Linked DNA regions of Xenopus tropicalis. The protein of the gene in region 1 interacts with the protein of each later gene in a pairwise test. Links are inferred from orthologs where the notes say so. Each region holds a gene or a part of one and is shown in the gene's direction. Other genes may lie near its edges.

What was found.
Region 2: the proteins of retinal rod rhodopsin-sensitive cGMP 3',5'-cyclic phosphodiesterase subunit delta (region 1) and arl16 interact in binary tests that used the Homo sapiens proteins (3 or more experiments, as listed by UniProt). The two-hybrid records come from large-scale screens. The link is inferred for Xenopus tropicalis from reciprocal best matches to the Homo sapiens genes PDE6D and ARL16.
Region 3: the proteins of retinal rod rhodopsin-sensitive cGMP 3',5'-cyclic phosphodiesterase subunit delta (region 1) and arl3 interact in binary tests that used the Homo sapiens proteins (3 or more experiments, as listed by UniProt). The link is inferred for Xenopus tropicalis from reciprocal best matches to the Homo sapiens genes PDE6D and ARL3.

The regions. Positions count from the first base shown.
Region 1 is NC_030681.2:101,179,589-101,183,644, reverse strand, and holds the start of retinal rod rhodopsin-sensitive cGMP 3',5'-cyclic phosphodiesterase subunit delta, read left to right. Parts: upstream 1-1,256; 5' UTR 1,257-2,282; coding exon 2,283-2,329; intron 2,330-4,056. UniProt on the Homo sapiens protein: Promotes the release of prenylated target proteins from cellular membranes. Modulates the activity of prenylated or palmitoylated Ras family members by regulating their subcellular location.
Region 2 is NC_030686.2:27,583,082-27,585,284, reverse strand, and holds the end of arl16 (ADP-ribosylation factor-like protein 16), read left to right. Parts: intron 1-720; coding exon 721-836; intron 837-927; coding exon 928-1,093; 3' UTR 1,094-1,703; downstream 1,704-2,203. UniProt on the Homo sapiens protein: May suppress the RNA sensing activity of RIGI in a GTP-dependent.
Region 3 is NC_030683.2:29,027,599-29,031,098, forward strand, and holds part of arl3 (ADP-ribosylation factor-like protein 3), read left to right. Parts: intron 1-973; coding exon 974-1,117; intron 1,118-3,500. UniProt on the Homo sapiens protein: Small GTP-binding protein which cycles between an inactive GDP-bound and an active GTP-bound form, and the rate of cycling is regulated by guanine nucleotide exchange factors (GEF) and GTPase-activating proteins (GAP).

The DNA.
Region 1 (4,056 bases):
AGATGTGCAAAGCTGGTAGAGACATACCCTAAAAGCCTGGCAGCTGTAATTGCAGCAAAAGGTGGTTCTACAAAGTATTGACTCAGGGGGCTGAATAATTACGCACACCCCACTTTGCAGTTATTTATTTGTAAAAAATGTTTGGAATCATGTATGATTTTCGTTCCACTTCTCACGTGTACACCACTTTGTATTGGTCTTTCACGTGGAATTCCAATAAAATCGATTCATGTTTGTGGCTGTAATGTGACAAAATGTGGAAAAGTTCAAGGGGGCCGAATACTTTTGCAAGCCACTGTAGGTATCCAGTTTTTGTGCAGTTAAGAGAATTTTTGTGTCGCCTCTCCCTACTAGCTCTCCTGGCAGTGTTTCAATGCCCACTTCCTCTCAGTTTATATTTGGTTTTTCAGTACGTAGTTCCTCCCATTATATAAAATGTATTTTGTGAGTCAGTACCCACTGCCTCTCATTATATAATATAATTTCGGTGCCCCTCAGGCCTGGACTGGTAATCTGTGTATTCTGGTAAATGCCTGATGTGCACTATAAATTATTACATTAACATTTATTTATAAAGCGCCAACATATTCCGCAGCGCTGTACAATATGTGGGTTACATACATTGGACATACAGAGTAACATATAAAGCAATCAGTAACCGATACAAGAGGTGAAGAGGGCCCTGCCCAAAAGAGCTTACAATCTACAAGTCACTATTTATTGGGGAGGGGGGGGGGGGCTATTTGGGCCTCTGTATAATAGAAATGCCATGTCCTATTTTGAATCACAGTCCGGGTCTGTAAACTATGGTTGAATAAGAGGGGGAGAAAATTTGCGCCAGTAAATTTAACCTAAAATAAAAAAAAATAGAATCCAGTATCTTCCCAACTATGTAGTTACTAACAGTCATCATGTAATGCATTAAGTTACCTACACGAGTTGTGAACATGTGAACTTGTGCTCTAAATTGCTTTGCTTCAGTAAGTAAACTTTGCAAGATCACCCAAACTCAATTATTCTCTATTACCACCTGGAACAAGTAGCCAGTGAATGTATTTTGACCCTTTTCGTGTCCCGTACAACTTTCCTCCGTTTCTATGCAACATGAGGTTCCTCAAATTAGTGACGCGCGAGCACTCAACCAGACTTGAAATCGATTTGTCCCGCCCTGCGTGCGACGTTCTCTCTCTCCTAATTGGTGCGTGGCGATATCACTCAGCAGGGATTCCGACTGTGATTGGCCGGTGCTAGCATTTTTTGTTGAACTGTACTAAACGTCATAGGGCAAATAGGAGGAACTGATGTAGCTTAGTAAATCTTCTTAGCCAGATCCTGTAGACGAGGAGCTAGTTGTTAAATCCATGCTGACATAACGAGTAGTTACTATACGATTCCGGAAAGCAGTGCAACATTGTAGAGTTCTTCCCAGTGCCGTGGCCCTGGGACCTCTGTGTTACGGAAAGCTGATCAGGGCGTCTGTCAGAGGCAGAATCCACGCTGCTCGCCTCCAGGTGCAAGTAAAACTGCAAATTCTGTTCAGGATTATTACTCTATGTGGTGGGTGTGATATAGGTGTGGAACTACTACTTAATGCATAGAAGCTGTTTATGCTGCTAGATTACCCCAGCACCGACCTACCTGCACTATGTCTGGCCTGTACAGCCTACCTGTGGTCTGACTGGCTGATATCGCTTGCCTGTACCCTTTCTGGCTCAAACCATCTACCATTGCAGTTATATTTTGTGTATTGTCCATATCATCAATTGCTGCAAGGGCCCCAACTCACCTGCCAGAATTGGCACTTGGACACATCTCAAGATATTGCATATTAAAACGTGTATGTACTGAGAGAGTGAAGCTACTGTTGGATCACCTATGATTGCTTGTGCTGGTTGCTGTTGCTAGCACTGGCTGAAATGGAATTACTCTGACAGTCCAAGTTAGGGTTAGGCCACACCTATTTTATTGTCATTCTACTGGCCAGCGAGAGACCGTCATGCATGTACTTTCTGAAATTTAAATTAAACAAGACTTATACCAGTACTGTTCCAAGACCATCGTATTTAATTTTAAACCAAACTAAACTTTTGTTGTGTCAGTATGAATCTTATGCAGGCTTAACAAACCTGGATCATCTACAGAGGCCAGAAGTCTATTGTAATCACTGTAAAACTCAACACTGGCTTTTATAGCTTTTGCATAACTAGGACCGGAAAACTTGAACTGTATATCTCAAGGGATAATCCTTCAACTGATAAAGGAAATCAAGGACAGCATTCAACATGTCTCAGGATGAGAGAGCCAAGCAAATCCTAAAGGGATTCAAACTGTATCCAACAATAAGGGTGTAAGTGGAAAAGAGCATGTTATGAGAAAGTGATATCACAATTATGGGTCCCTTGGTGTAGGTCAGGTGTTGTAAGTATAAGATATAAATTTAAGTCAAAAAAATGAGTGGCGTCTGGTGATTCAGGCTTTATTTTTTTTTATCTCAGTGTTGCATTGATGACCAGCCTCTGGCCCTCCAGCTGTTGAGCTTTCAGCATCTCTTGGAAGATTAAAAGTGATTAGTGATTAGCGCTTAGGGAGATCTAGTCCAGATGGCAGGCCACAGGTAGGACTTCCCTGCAATACGGCATTAATGCAAACTATCAGCATGGTGTGACCATATGTGATATACTTATCTATAGGTTTATATTTGGTGCTAGAACATTAAATGCATCAAATACACACACTATTGGGATTCAGAGACGCAATAAACACCTCAAAATTTGTATAATAAAATACTACAAAAAAGTGCAAGTCTGCATCAGACCTGCTTGTTTAACAGACAAACAACAACTGCTGGCATTATGAAATAAGCACTAGATCGGTTACATTGCAGCCATTTTGTATGGGTTAACTCTCTGTATGGATGATTTACTAAGATAACAACTACTACATATCACCAATTCAGTTGCTCATGACAACCTATCAGATATTTGATTTCATTTTCTCAATGAGTGGTTTTTTTTTTGTTTGAATTCATGCCATAGGCAGAGGTATATGATAAGTGGCTTCTATAAGGTTTTTTTGATCTGAAGGGGTGGTCATTATTACAGATTGCTAGGTCTATTTCTATAGAAGTAGACTTATTTTTGATGATGTGGTTAAGGTCTTGTATGTGTTGTGTCTTTAATGGGAAAGAAACCTTGTCATTGGGGTAGGGGAAGTGTTGATATGTAAATTCCCCTCTAAGTGAATTTAATCACTGGAGTCTTTTTTTATTTAATAGACATGAAGCTGCGGGCCAGTTTGGGTGCAGATGGAGAGGGGGGGGGGGTGCAGGTCGACAAGAAGTCGACCCCGACATCACTACTGGCTTGGGAAACTTTCTAAAAGTGGTTCAGCTGTGCCTTTCATAAACTTAGATTTGAGCATGTGTAATAGACTAAAATCTGAAAAAATAAGGACACAAAGGAGCATCGGTCTGAGGAGATAGTATAGTAATGTAATGCACTGGGTAGTGCTTTACATTTTGGCAGCCCCTAGTATATATAGGATTCTTAGTCTTTCCATGTGTCTATACACAGACCGATATAGGCAGCCCACTGGGCCCTGTATGGAAGCTAAACTTTTTAATTTGTCTGGTGCTGCCTTAAGCACTGGACCTTAGCTCCAGGGTCAAACTGGACTACCAGGATATCAGGAAAAATCTCAGTGGGCCCAGACCCTGCCACCCAAGCCCTGGCTGGCAAATGCCAGAGAGGCTGCTGTAAGATGCCATAGACAGTCACTAGTGGGTTGATGGGGGGCTGTTTGGTTTGGGCATCTCTGCCTGAAATGCCATGGCCTGTTTTGAATGCCAGTCTGCCCGCAAGCCCCAGCCATCACCTCTCCCTGCTTAGCTGTGCTACTTATTTTGCTGTTTAAGGAACAGTTTAGTAAAAAATGAAACTGTGTAAAATAGACTGTGCAAAATGTTATGTCCACTCAAGTCACTGATTGGTAACTGACTGTTAACAACTTAGGAGGAGGAAGTAGTGTTCTGGCTACTATGTTAGACATCTGCCTACA
Region 2 (2,203 bases), on another chromosome or scaffold:
CACTGACCTATCTATCCACTCACATACAGACCCATACTGACCTATCTATCCACTCACATACAGACCCACACTGACCTATCTATCCACTCACATACAGACCCATACTGACCTATCTATCCACTCACATACAGACCCATACTGACCTATCTATACACTCACATACAGACCCACACTGACCTATCTATCCACTCACATACAGACCCACACTGACCTATCTATCCACTCACATACAGACCCATACTGACCTATCTATCCACTCACATACAGACCCATACTGACCTATCTATCCACTCACATACAGACCCATACTGACCTATCTATCCACTCACATACAGACCCATACTGACCTATCTATCCACTCACATACATACACCATATATACCAACATCAATACTAACTGTAGATATTAGTATCACAATAGCCTTGGATACTATGCTTGTTCAAGAACTCATCCAGGCCCCTCTTAAAGGCATTAACATAATCTGCCATTACAACATCACTAGGAAGGGCATTCCCCAACCTCACTACTTTCACCGTGAAAAACCACCTATGCTGCTTCAAATGGAAGCTCCATTCCTCTAATCTAAAGGGGGGGCCTCTGGCCTGGTCTGAATTTCAGTATCCTTTAGGTGCCACTAATTTTTGAAGGGCTTCATCTGAATACCACTGAATTAATGTATTCTGTTTTATTCATATATTGTGATTTTCATGTTATTTTAGTTTATGGTTGATGCTGCTAACCCAAACCAAGTGTCTGCATCATGTATCCAGCTTCTGGCCGTGCTGTCTGCGGAGCCTTTGGTGTCTGCTTCAGTGCTGATTCTTTTTAATAAGATGTAAGTTTTTATGCCTTCTTTCTTATTGACTTATTATTCTTAGACTATGACTAAGCATGTAGTTAATAAGTTCCATTTTTGTTCCCTGTAGAGACCTGCCATGCTATATGTCATTGGTGGAAATAAAGTCACTGTTTAGAATGGATGACATCATTTCTTGTGCTAAGCAACAAATTTCAGTCCTGCAAACAAGCTCACTAGATGGCACTGGTTTACAAGATGTTATGCACTGGTTGCATTCCAATTGTGCTCAATAACATTCCCTTCACTGGCAATGAAACAGTATGCAGAATGCACCACTTAAATGTTGGATGTACAGCAGTGTTTCCTGGGCAAAACATTCTTAGCACTGTCCCAGTGAAGCCATTTTCCCTTTCTTTGGAGCAGAGAAACAATGGGAAGAAGTGTGTCTATGTGTTTACAGTAGCATTTTCTGCAGAAGGAGTTTGCATCCATTGCACACATTTAGGTATCAACCACATTCAGCCTGATGTGTCCAGATAAAATACAACCAAGGATATCTTTGATACTTACTGAAGCAGTACTTCCTGCATGAATTGGGGACCATTTCCATGTCTTTATCCATGCCAGGGTCTTACAAACATTGGTACGGGATTAACAGAAACATAAGAAGAGATGCTGCAAGTTTTGGCATCACTTTCTCCATCCACTTTCCACTGTCACTCATTTACAGTTACCACATATTAAGAATGGGTCCATTGAAGGTCAAAGCCTCTTTCAGCTGGAATTAAGAGTCTTATTTGATAAGCTATGATTACAATTATGAACATTAATACAAATGATTAAAGTTGAATATGTTTTATGTGGTTTTTTTAATACAAAATTGTAATAAAAGTGTAAACCTTTAATTGTAAAAATGATGCAGGATCATTAAGCTTTTTGATGTGCTGCTAGTGAGCAGTAACCTACACATGCACACAGTAGTAGGACAGTAGTTGCATTAATTAGATGCACTTGGATGATGTTATTTCAAAAATAGTTCAGCATCAGTTCAACACAACCTTTATAACATGATTTTCAGGTTCCCAAAAAGGGTTTTATGGGGAAGCTATTGAACCCAGGTGGCTGCTTTTGTATTATGCTAGAAGTCATAGAAGATCTCCAACCTTAGGTGCTGACTGCAAGGTTGGAGGGCAGCACTGACTTGGCTGCCTGATGGTAGCAAGGAGTCCTGACATGGCACTGCCCTGCCAGCAGTTGCAGGGTTGTTTCCTCTACATGATTTAGTAACATGATTAGTGAGTTTGTATTATAGCTGTGGGTAAAAAAAAATCCACATACATACATAAGTTTAACCTTTTGTTGTAGCAAAACCTTCCTACCTACTACCTGATTGTTTGTGTGGT
Region 3 (3,500 bases), on another chromosome or scaffold:
CTTTAGTCTCTGTGATCATCACAATTGTGCAGCCCTTATTTCTAGTGACTTCAGGTAAAAGTGCGCATATTAGCTCTGGGCAACTTTTAACCTGTAGTTGTGAATTTGCCCTCGCTCTTTTTATGGGGGGTTTGGGGTCACCCAGCGCTCAAGAAAGGTTTAAAAGTGAACTGAGAACTTGATTGCTTCTAATACTTGGAATGTTGGCCTTTTCATTGGTTTGATGAGTCACAGTATATATGATGATATATTAGTGTTATGGTGAATGTTCTGTAGAATCAGCTTGGGAAATCGAATTTAAACACAACAGAGCTTTTTATGGTAGCACTTTTTGTGTGAAGTTCATACAGTTTGTCTCAGCTTTATTTATTAGCAACCAGCTGAACAAGAATCTATGCGTACGACTTATCACTATGTTTGCGCAAGCCATACTGATGACTTGTTGAATGGATGGGTGTTACTACTCAGTGCAGCCCAACAGCAGCGTTGAGCACTAAAAACCTTTTAAAATTAAATATGTTTAACCGCTCAAAGCAGTTTAGTTTCATAATAGTCCTAGCTGATTTCAAAAGATGCAGACTTTAGATATAAGATGTGGTTGTGCCAGCTGGGCTTTTATCTCACCAAATTACAGCCTAGGGTTAACTAAATATGCATGCAGCACATATTCAGTTAAGTTTGCTGGTAATCTGACTTGGATATTGGGAGTCTAAAACTGCTAATAAGCAAGTAACTGCAAAAATCTAATTTTTTTTTGTATTGTGCTTAGAGGACATTTTATATAATTTTTAAATTTTGGTTTGCATCCCCTTTAATACAGAACTATTTCGAAGAAACACTGCTTCTTTGGTTCTAGCTCGTGGCCCTAAAAATATAAAATGTTTTAATATAAGGCACCGTTTCTCTTTCTACTCTAAATAAATGTATTAACTGATATCTGCATACTGATGTTGTGCCTCATTTGTCGTTTCAGGGTTTGCTGTCTATTTTGCGTAAACTGAAAAGTGCCCCAGACCAGGAGGTAAGAATTCTGCTCCTGGGACTGGACAATGCCGGCAAAACCACACTGCTCAAACAGCTTGCGTCCGAGGATATCAGCCACATCACACCTACACAGGTGAGCAGTATCCTGCTGTTCCACATAACAGCCCCTTCTTTATAAACACAAACAAGAAACAATGCGCATACTTTGCTAGAATATTCCATTCCCTGTTTTCTTATATTAACACCTACCTGGTGAGTTAATAGCTGTTCTACTTGTATGTTCAGCAGATTAATTATGCATTCAATTTTTGGGCAAGATAATTACAATGAACACAAGTAGACTAAAAGTTTACCAGAGCATTGATTCCATAATAGAACCCAAGCAGAAAGAATTACTACTCTATTTTCATAAGGAATCCAAGTGCCTTGCTGAACCGAATCCAAACCCTTAAAATCACTTGACTTTTGGTCACATGATTGCAAATTAGGTTTTAGATTTGGCTAAATCCTTCATGAAAGATTCAGGATTTGGCCAAATCTTTTAGAAAACTGAAATATTTTCCACATGCTCAGCTCCCCTCCATTTCCTTCCCCTAATGTCATATGAAAATTAGGCTTTACATTTAGTTGAATCCTTCTTAAAGGAGAAGGAAAGTAATTTTGGCATTTTACTGCCAATAGATTTGCCACATTGGTGCCACCTACAACAATATTTATTTATTCTGCAGAAACCATTACCAAACAGCTTTAGAAGCGCAGATCACACATTCCTAAGAGGGGGGGGGTGGTGGTTCTTAGCATTCTTGTGGGAGGGGGTGCAAGAGAGGGGAGGGGGAGCAGGAGAAGAGAGAGAGAGGAGAGAACTGTGCAGACTCTGGCCCAGGGAATTAAGGATGTTTCTGAGAGAGCAAGTCAGACACTGGAACATCATGTTTACAAAAAAAGAGACAAGAAATCCTGTATTTCCTTTGATAGAGGACAGCATTACTGTAAGTGCTTATGGCTGTATTTACATAGACCTTTCTGATAAAGCTTACTTAGTTTTTACCTTTCCTTCTCCTTTAAAAGATTCACCAGAATCCCCAAATAGTGGATTCAGTGCATTCCTACTTCTTGGGCCACTGTGCAAACTTGTTGAAAGGGCAACATAAGGCAACAACTTTCATTCAAATTTTAATTTTTTTGCTGGTGTATATGTATAGTTATTATTAGTTATTAATTATAAAAAAAAGCTATGTTGTTCTGTGTACAAATTCTTTCTTGCTGTTTACATGCATTCTGTTACCTAGCAACCAGGGAAACCCCACGACATCCTGAGGTTGCCTTCTCCAGGGATACCTGCATTGCAGTTATAGAGTTATTTGTGCTCCTTGTGCATATATAACATTTCCATTGCTCTGGAAAACCCTCCCAGGTTGCTCTTGTGCTTTGGAATAATTCTTAGGTCTGTACACTAAAGCAAGCTAAGATGAAACTGCAGATTGGATCACAGCAAACACAGGTTATAGAGTTTAAGAAAAAATGGATAATCTGAACAACTTTTCCATTAAACTGTACAAACTGTTCTTAGGTAATGGAAAACAAACCCCATGCAGGTCAGCCACACCTGCGAGACACTGATTGAGATAAGTCTCAGGATCATATACTGTAGATATTATTCTAGGTATAAATGCTAACTACAGTATACAGTATATGTGCGTGTAACTATTTATGTGTATCATATACAGCAATTCTGTTTCTGTGTCACTGTCACAGTCTAAAAATTGCAGAAACTGTTTCAATAGAATTAATGTAAGACCACTGTTTGTTATTAATTAATGTAAAGCACCACATAATATGTTGCCACAATATAAATATCCAGTGATACAACATTTGCTCCAAGTGCAAAGTCAGAAGTTGATTAGCTGTTTTATATGATTTGAAAAAAGCTCTGCACCATATCCTGCATTTTCACCCCAAACAATGGCAGTGTTTAATGGTACCCCAAGCAGAGATATGCTTAGAGGTAGTGGACACTGGCACTCCAAGCACACCATAGGTACTGACAGCACAACTACAATATATAGAGAACAGTGGATACTGACACCACAAACGCATGAAATGTTTACTGACACACTAAGCTCATTATATACAGCAAAGGGCAGTGGAAAGTTCTGATATTGTTCTGCTCTTAACTTTTTTTTTTATAACCCTTTTCCTGGCAGTCAGTTTGTGGATTCTGGTACTTATATTGCCAGACAGTGTTTGAACAAAAACTGTATATCATTTTTTTTTTTTTTTTTTTGTAGAACAACCTAAGATTTCAAAATATTCTATAATTTTTATGTAGCTCTACTTCTGTAACAAGATATAGGTTTCTAAAGGTCTAAAAAATATAAAATCATATTTTCCTTAATATAAAGACATATATCTGAAACATAATCTATTTTTTGTTCATGAAAATACAACTGAATTGAAAAGTCCCATGTCTCCTGAATGTGCCAGTACCAAATATGGATAGGTTTTTTGAGATTTCT